2 linked regions of the Canis lupus familiaris genome follow. The protein of the gene in region 2 interacts with the protein of the main gene of each other region in a pairwise test. Links are inferred from orthologs where the notes say so. Each region holds a gene or a part of one and is shown on either strand. Other genes may lie near its edges.

The links. The genes of interacting proteins can lie anywhere in the genome.
Region 1: the proteins of KRT40 (region 2) and CYCS interact in binary tests that used the Homo sapiens proteins (3 or more experiments, as listed by UniProt). The two-hybrid records come from large-scale screens. The link is inferred for Canis lupus familiaris from reciprocal best matches to the Homo sapiens genes KRT40 and CYCS.

The regions. Positions count from the first base shown.
Region 1 is NC_049235.1:38,663,698-38,667,998, reverse strand, and holds CYCS (cytochrome c), read left to right. Parts: upstream 1-1,475; 5' UTR 1,476-1,601; intron 1,602-2,682; 5' UTR 2,683-2,690; coding exon 2,691-2,859; intron 2,860-2,983; coding exon 2,984-3,132; 3' UTR 3,133-4,011; downstream 4,012-4,301. UniProt on the Homo sapiens protein: Electron carrier protein. The oxidized form of the cytochrome c heme group can accept an electron from the heme group of the cytochrome c1 subunit of cytochrome reductase.
Region 2 is NC_049230.1:21,662,798-21,666,440, forward strand, and holds the end of KRT40 (keratin, type I cytoskeletal 40), read left to right. Parts: exon of another isoform or gene 1-72; coding exon 73-234; intron 235-302; exon of another isoform or gene 303-313; coding exon 314-439; intron 440-590; exon of another isoform or gene 591-703; intron 704-1,770; coding exon 1,771-1,991; exon of another isoform or gene 1,992-2,109; intron 2,110-2,497; exon of another isoform or gene 2,498-2,537; coding exon 2,538-2,637; 3' UTR 2,638-3,116; downstream 3,117-3,643. UniProt on the Homo sapiens protein: May play a role in late hair differentiation.

The DNA of each region.
Region 1 (4,301 bases), on a different chromosome or scaffold from region 2:
TAAAATAAATAAATAGAATAGAATAGAAAACCGAACTGCAGAATTATCATTGTTCTCAACTAATTCCCTCAGGTATTGTGAGTAAACTGCAAATACTGTGTGTCTCTTCCAAACTTGAATACATAGATATTATAAAACATAATAGGTGTGATTTCTGTTTCACAGGATGCTTTTGTGGCCCTAGTGTGTGCAATTAGAGGAAACTCGAAATCAGGACGTAGAAAACAATAAAAAAATAATCCGGTCGTATAGAGAGATGGATGGTCTGGAGCAGAAATCATGGTACCCGTGGTCTGGAAGGGGTGTAAGGTAATCTAGTTAAGTTTACTGCTTAACTTGGGAGTAGGAAGAAGATGGCTAGAATGTAAGCTCCACCAGAGAAAGAGTCCTCCACGATCTACTCCAGGTAAATAATATGCATTCAATAAACACTTGTGAATGAATAACGGCAGTGCTAGAACACGAGAAAGGAGGGGGAAAACCCATTCACAACTCGGGGGCTGAATTAGCGGGGGCAAGGGAGTCCAGAAAAAATATTTGCCAGGGACAGAACCGAGCATGTCTGGAAGGAGAGCTAGTTCTGGAGGAAAAGGATGATCCCCGGAAGCTGTGGTTATCAAACCTGCCTTTGTCATATGACCCCAACCGCATTACATCTTACTTGAACAGGTCATTCGGCCTAGGTTAGAGGAGATGCAAATCCTCTCTAGGTTTCCAACAATGCTCTAGCCCCTTGACAAGGCTCCTCGCTAGCGCCTGCACATCCTCCTTGTTCCGCACAGAAACGCAAGGGAGACGGGTGTCGGCGGAAAAGCCGGCAGCTGTGGGGCCCGAGCTACAATCCAGCTTCCGCCGCAGCTACGGCAGCTTCCCTGCGGCAGACCCGGGGTGTCCGTCAAGGGGGGGATGTCGAAGTAGCAGAGTGAAGGCGAAGCGGTACGTCGGGAGCTCAGGTCCAACTCTCACAACTCCGGGTTCCAGGCGATGCTTTGGGGTGCGGCTGGCGGCAGCCGCGAAAGCAGGACAGAGACTGCGGAAAGGCCGCCAGCTGCACGGACAGCAGCCAGGAGGCCTCTACGTGCGTCAGAGTTGGGGCGTTCCCCTCCCGGCAGGCAAAACGCCCCCCCCGCCCCCGCCCAAAGCGCATTACGTCAACAAGCCCAAGAGCAGTTACCTTAGCACAACAACGCCCTCCATCCACCACGCGACTCCGCTCCACCCTCCCCTTGGGGATACGCATGCGCAGAAAGGCAGGACGGCGACGTCAGCCCTTCCCGGCACCGCCTCGTTGTCGTACATCCAGGGGCCTGTCGTAACTGCCGGCGGGAGAGCAGAAGGGCACCCGCGCGGCACACCCTACCCTGCTGGCCGGCCTCCGCGCCGGTCGTTAACGCAGGCCCTGGAGACTGAAGCCAATGAGGCGCGGTGACGTCACTGCGTAGCAGGCCGCGCAGCCGCAGGGCGGGCGGCGAAGGGACGGATCGAGTTCGGTTGCACCGACACCGGTACTTAGGTGCGGAGCGGCGTGTCCTTGGACTTAGAGAGCGGGACGTCCGGCTTGCGAGCGGGCTTCTTCGTTTCGCGCGCGCGACAGAAAGGCGGTGAGCGCCGGGCGGGAAGCCGCAGCACGGGGACGCGCGGCTGTGTCGAGGGGTGCGCGCCCTGGCCGAGGCCGGCGCCCGGGTTCGGCGAGTGGGGCGCACCTGGGGCGGGAAGGCCAGGGGTGACCCCCCCCGCCCCGCCTGGGGCCGGCCAGAAGCCGGTGGGCTACGGCTGGAGACGGGGCGGCACGCCGGCTGGGACGGGGAGTGGGCTCGATCAGGGCCCTTAAAGCCCGGAAGCCGCCTGGATGCTGATCCAACCCAGACCGAGGCCCGGGGGTCTCGTAGCCGGGGCCCAGGGGCTGTGGAAGTGACAGACTTCCCGGGATGAGGGCGGGAATGTGGGGGGCTGCGCAGCGCCCCACGGCCTCCTGCAGAGGCGGCCGGAACTACCGCTCCTGCAAAAACGAGCCCTTTTTCTTCCGAGTCACTTGTCGCTTTTCCCCCCTTAACCTGCCTAGGCATCTCGGGAAGGCAGGTGCCCTCCGTCTCCTTGAAAGCCTGATTGGGTGACCTCGTGGGCGTCTCCAGAGAGCCCAGAGCTGGAGGACGGACGGATGGGAGACCTCCCACCCGCACCGCAGGGCCGTTTATACCGGCCCGAGCAGGCTGTTAGCAACCACAGGACTTGGGTTTTGTAAATGTATTTTCACTGATCAGAGGTGGCTTCACATTGCAGTCTGATTAAATAGGCTTTCTTAAAAGCTGAAAGTTTTGGTAGTTTGGTAGTTTTGGTTTAATGTAATCATGGTTTTCGACTTGACTCAGATTTGTGACTTTCTGTGACCTTGACCTCAAACTTTTGAAACCGTTTTTGAACTAGGTTCCCACTTTGCTTACTTGGGCTTTAGTTCTATCACTCGAATACACATAGATGTGTATTTAGGGAAGTCGTTCCAGCTAGTGGTTTTTGGTACCTAGAGAGCCAGTCGCCAGCACACTAAGTAAAACCAGATTCGCCCTGGTGATTAATACTCTAGATTTGCAATGGGTTAGTAATTCAGTCCCTGGAGCGACCACTGGTTGGTTTTCACTGGATTTTTACTCGGAGGAAAAAAGTAATGGAGTCTTTCATTTTTAGATTGAAAAATGGGTGATGTTGAGAAGGGCAAGAAGATTTTTGTTCAGAAGTGTGCGCAGTGCCATACTGTGGAAAAGGGAGGCAAGCACAAGACTGGGCCAAACCTCCACGGTTTATTTGGGCGGAAGACCGGTCAGGCCCCTGGATTTTCTTACACGGATGCCAACAAGAACAAAGGTAAGGGTCTGGGAGGTGGGGGATCAGTTATTAAATAACAGAAGCACAATTTCATGAATATAACCAATGGTAAGCCCTTTATCAGGAGTGTAAGATACTTAACAATACGTCCCTCCTTGTTTAGGCATCACCTGGGGAGAGGAGACCCTGATGGAGTATTTGGAGAATCCCAAGAAGTACATCCCTGGAACAAAAATGATCTTCGCTGGCATTAAGAAGACAGGGGAAAGAGCAGACTTAATAGCTTATCTCAAAAAAGCTACTAAGGAGTAATAGTTGGCTATCGCCTTATTTATTACAAAACAAAAATGTCTCATGACTTTTTTTTTATGTGTACCATATTTAAATTGATCTCATTGACCAGAATTCAGATCATGAGTGGCTGATAGAAGGTTTCTCTTGGACAGTCCTGATTTAAATAAGATTGGCTTGTGGTTAAATGAATATGATCAGTTTTTTGAACTTTGATAGTAATTCTGGTTCAGCAAGTGCTCTCACTGTTTTCCCCTTCTAAAAAATATGATTGGAATTGATTAGAGATGTGTAGCTTTTCACAGAGATGGTAAATGCCACCTCTAAATTTATAGATTGGTTTTATATTTAGATTTATATAACGGGTTATATTAATATATTTAAATACTGAGGAAATCCCTTCACTCTCAGAACAGCAAGACTCAGCTGTGTTTCAAGTTGTGTTCCCTAGCCTGTTAAAGGCAATGGCTGAAGATAAGCTGGCAGTGTCCACTTTATCTTTTTGGTCTTAACTATGCCAATTTAATTAAAATTCTTTGCATCTAAAATGTTGCCTTTTGCTAATTGAAAGGCATTTTAGTGTGGTTTGTGCGTAATATTAAAATTTTAACACTTGGGTTTTATACACCTGTAAGGTCAGACGCTTTTAAAATTTAGTGTGAGGAGATACAGCAGCAGACTTGGCTTGTGAATTCTTGACTAAGACTACGTTATTATTCAGGATTGTCTTCTAAACAGCTATTCAGTGACACAAATGTGGAATTAACCATGTATGTATGATTGGTAATGGTGCTTTTGCCAACTCCTTAGAAAGGTTAAAATAGAGGAGATCCGTCATCAGCACAAATTTGTACATTATGTGATAAGGTTTAAGATAATTAAAAACAAAGTCACAGATCATGATTTTTCTAATGTGCTTGATTTAATGACTGCCAAAATTTTGAGTACAAGGATCCTAAGCACTGGTGGAGCAGTGTTACTAGCCATAGTACTTGATTGTTTACTTAGTCCTCTAGGACAGTGCGAATTAGAACAACACTTCAGTCATTGATCTTTAGAATTTCTATTGGCCAGAATGAGGAGTGGAGTGTTTATGCCAAATATAGATAGAATAACGTGCTTCTAGTCCTTGTTTTGTGGTATATAACTGTATGATTTATATACCAAGTTATTTCATACATGGTCCATGC
Region 2 (3,643 bases):
CTCTTGGGATGTCAAGGTGAATTCTTCTTCCCCACCACTCTGTGACTTTCTTTACTCCATTTCCTCTTTCAGGAGGTTGACTTGCTTCGTGGACAGTTGGGTGACCGACTCAGTGTAGAGCTGGACACTGCCCCCACCATCGACCTCAACAGGGTCCTGGAAGAGATGCGTTGTCAGTATGAAACCGTGCTGGCCAACAACCGTAGAGACGTGGAAGAATGGTTTGCTGTTCAGGTCAGTACCCAGAGCAAGAAAATGACAAGCTTCCAGACTTCTGCCTTATTTGCATCCTCTAATCATACCTGGTTTACAGACAGAGGAGCTGAATCAGCAGCAGCTGTGCAGCGCAGAGCAGCTGCAAGACTGCCAGACAGAGATCCTGGAACTGAAACGCACAGCCAATGCTCTGGAAATTGAGCTCCAAGCACAGCAAAGCCTGGTATGTAAGGGAAAGACAGCTCTGTTTTTGTCACTGAAGAATTAAGCCCTGAGATGCTAGTCCCTCTTCCATGAACCCAAGGAGAGATCCACAGTTCATGTGGCAGAAAGTCTGAATTTCCAATATGCAAGGATTGTATTCTTTGACTTACCCAAATACTGCTGTTTACTGAGCTAGAAGCAGAAGTGATAGGTCAACAGTCTGTACTGTCCCAACAGGATTCCCTGACCTTCCCTCCTGGGCTTGAGCATGATCCTGCAGCACCTTCCAGAGACAGAAAAAGAACAGGAGGGCAGGAGCAGAATGAGAGTGGAACCTCTGAGCTGAAGGCACTGAAGCATTCCAGTGGGTTTTAATTGTGCTTTGATTTGGGCCAACTTCTCAAACTCAGCATCATATAAAAGAATAATATTCAAACTTTGCATTCTTCCACTACCCTAAGCTTTTCCAGGATCCACACCTCAACTGGACCCTTCACTCCACCCCATTTCACCCAGCAATGAAAATACTATGCACTGGGGAGCCTGGCTGGCTCAGTCAGAGGAGCATGTGACTCTTGATCTCAGGATCATGAGTTCAAGCCCCATGCTGGGCATAGAGGTTATTTTAAAAAAAAATTTTTTTAAAAAGGATACCATGCATTGAAGATCACATTAGCCAGTTCCAGTCAGACACCACTGTCTGTGCCACATTGGGGCCTATAGAGACTATCTGGGTGAATAATAGCTACATATTTATCTTGTGAGAGGCTTAAACGCCTCATAATAACTTGATGGGATAAATCCTTTTACTAAACCCATTATCAGATGAGGAAGACTGAGACTCAGATTAAGTAGCAGGGGTCATGCAGTTGTTTTTTTTTTTTTTTTTTTTTTTTTCATGCAGTTGTTAAGAGGCAAAAGTGGAAGCTGGATCCAGCTGGTTCAATCCCAGAGCCTCTTCTCTGAACCATTCTATATGGCTCTTTCCTGCCCCAAGTCCATACTCAACTTCTCCCCTCAAATGCTGTTGATCTTCCTTAATATATATTACAGGTTGTGATGGGCAAGTGGTGATAGTAATAACTAACCCTTGCACAGTTTTGAAATTTTTTCCAGGCACTGTTCACAGTGTTTTACACATATTAATTCATTCAATCCGCACAACCATCCTATGAAATAAGTACTTTGCATTGGTCATTTTTTATAAAATAAAACAGCCTCAGAGAAGCTAAGTAATTTTCCCAAAGTCACATAGATGCACTAGGGTAGATCAAGGATTTGAAAACCAGCACTCTGGCCCCAAGGACTATGCTACACAGCCCTTCTGAATATACTCTTTTTCTTCTGCAGACAGAGTCTCTGGAATGCACTGTGGCAGAGACGGAGGCCCAGTATAGCACCCAGCTGGCCCAGATGCAGTGCCTGATTGATAACGTGGAGAACCAGCTGGCTGAGATCCGCTGTGACCTGGAGCGGCAGAACCAGGAGTATGAGGTGCTGCTGGACACAAAGGCTCTGCTGGAGGGTGAGATCAACACATACCGAGGTCTCCTTGAGAGTGAAGACAGCAGGCAAGTTCCACACGATTATTCTCAAAATCCCCCAAGTCACAAAGAAGCTCATGCAAGAGAATCTTGCCTCCTCAAGGTCTGCCCAAGGTGAAACCTCCCTCATGTGTTAAATGATCTCCTTACAAGAGTAAAAAGACAAACAAAACAAAACAACAACAACAAAAAAAACAGCTGAGGCTAATCACATGACAGTAGAAGTATTCAAAAGTATTCCAAAGTTCTAAAGCAGAATAAGTATCACATACAAAATTTCATGCTGGGCGTCCCCCTTTGTTCCTGACTTCCACCAAAGAGAAATCAGGAACATGCATAAGATAACATTTGCAAAGTGAAATAAATACACAAAACTGTGTATTCAACTGGCACAGGGGCAGTGAGCATTCCTAGTGGCAATGCTGAATCTAGGCCTGAAATAGGCTTAGGTCAAATGCTACTCTGCAAAGAGTGTTCAGAACATCATTTGCAGGGCAAATTTTGGCACGATCTTTTCTGAGTTGAAATTTTACCTGGATTTCCCTTGTTAAGCTTACTTCAAAATTTCCACAGGCTTCCTTGTAACCCGTGTTCTACAATAAGCACATCAAGCAACACTTGTGAGGCATGCTCAGCGTATCTGATTTGCACGGTCGAAAACTACTGTGCATGAATGTTCAACCCTCGGCGCAGTGGATAGAGGAGTCAAAGCCAGCAGTGTCCTGGAAAGGAGATGGGACTTCAATCAGATGCATCCAAATCTAAAAGTCAAGAAGGGGTTTCTACCCTAAATTTGTCCTCTAAACATCCCCATTATATTTCTGCTTTGTCATTTCCTCTCCTGCCTGCTTATTAGTGATATTCTAGGAGTCTATAAAGCTTTCTTGCTAATCTCCAAATAAAATATGTTTCATTCCTTTAGCATGGTAAATATAGCTTTGTGGCTTATAACTGTGGATATAAGAACCATGTGATGCCTAAACCCATGTCGATAGTTTGATTTTGCACAAACCGAGGCTGAAAATAGTTTTTAACTCCTCAAATACAAAAGTTTAACTAATCCATGCAAAATGTCATACATCTTGGAAGACAGTTGTATGTATCTTTCTAAGAGGAAATTTAAGAATAAATGTCTTATTTGTAATTATAAAAGTACAGGATTCCATTTTTTTCTCAATTTGGCACATGAAAGGGGAAAAAATTAGTTACAATTCCACCCCCAAACACCCGTTATCAGTATTTTGGGAGCTTCCAGCTTTCTTTCATATAATAGGTTTTTCCACATAATGGAAATCATATTTACATATGCACATAGTTGAGTAAACTACTTTTTTCACTATGTCATGTAAGCATTTTCAATCCAAATAAACCTATAAGATTGTCCTGTGACTGTTATTTTAGTGGCTACATAAAATACCATAAGGTTATTGGCCTGTTATTGGACATTTGGGGTATAAGAATAATTATTCATACACATTTAAAAAGCAAAGTGGAGAACTCCACCTCCAAAAAAATGAAATGGATGTACATTTCCTCATTCCTCTTCCTAAGTCTGGCTGAAAACCAGGGAAATTACATATAAAAGAAATATAAGCAGATTCTGAAAGGTGGAAGAAGCCAAACCAACTAGAATCATATTCAAGGAACAGCAAGCAAGTGAGTTCCTTGGGTTTTCTTTT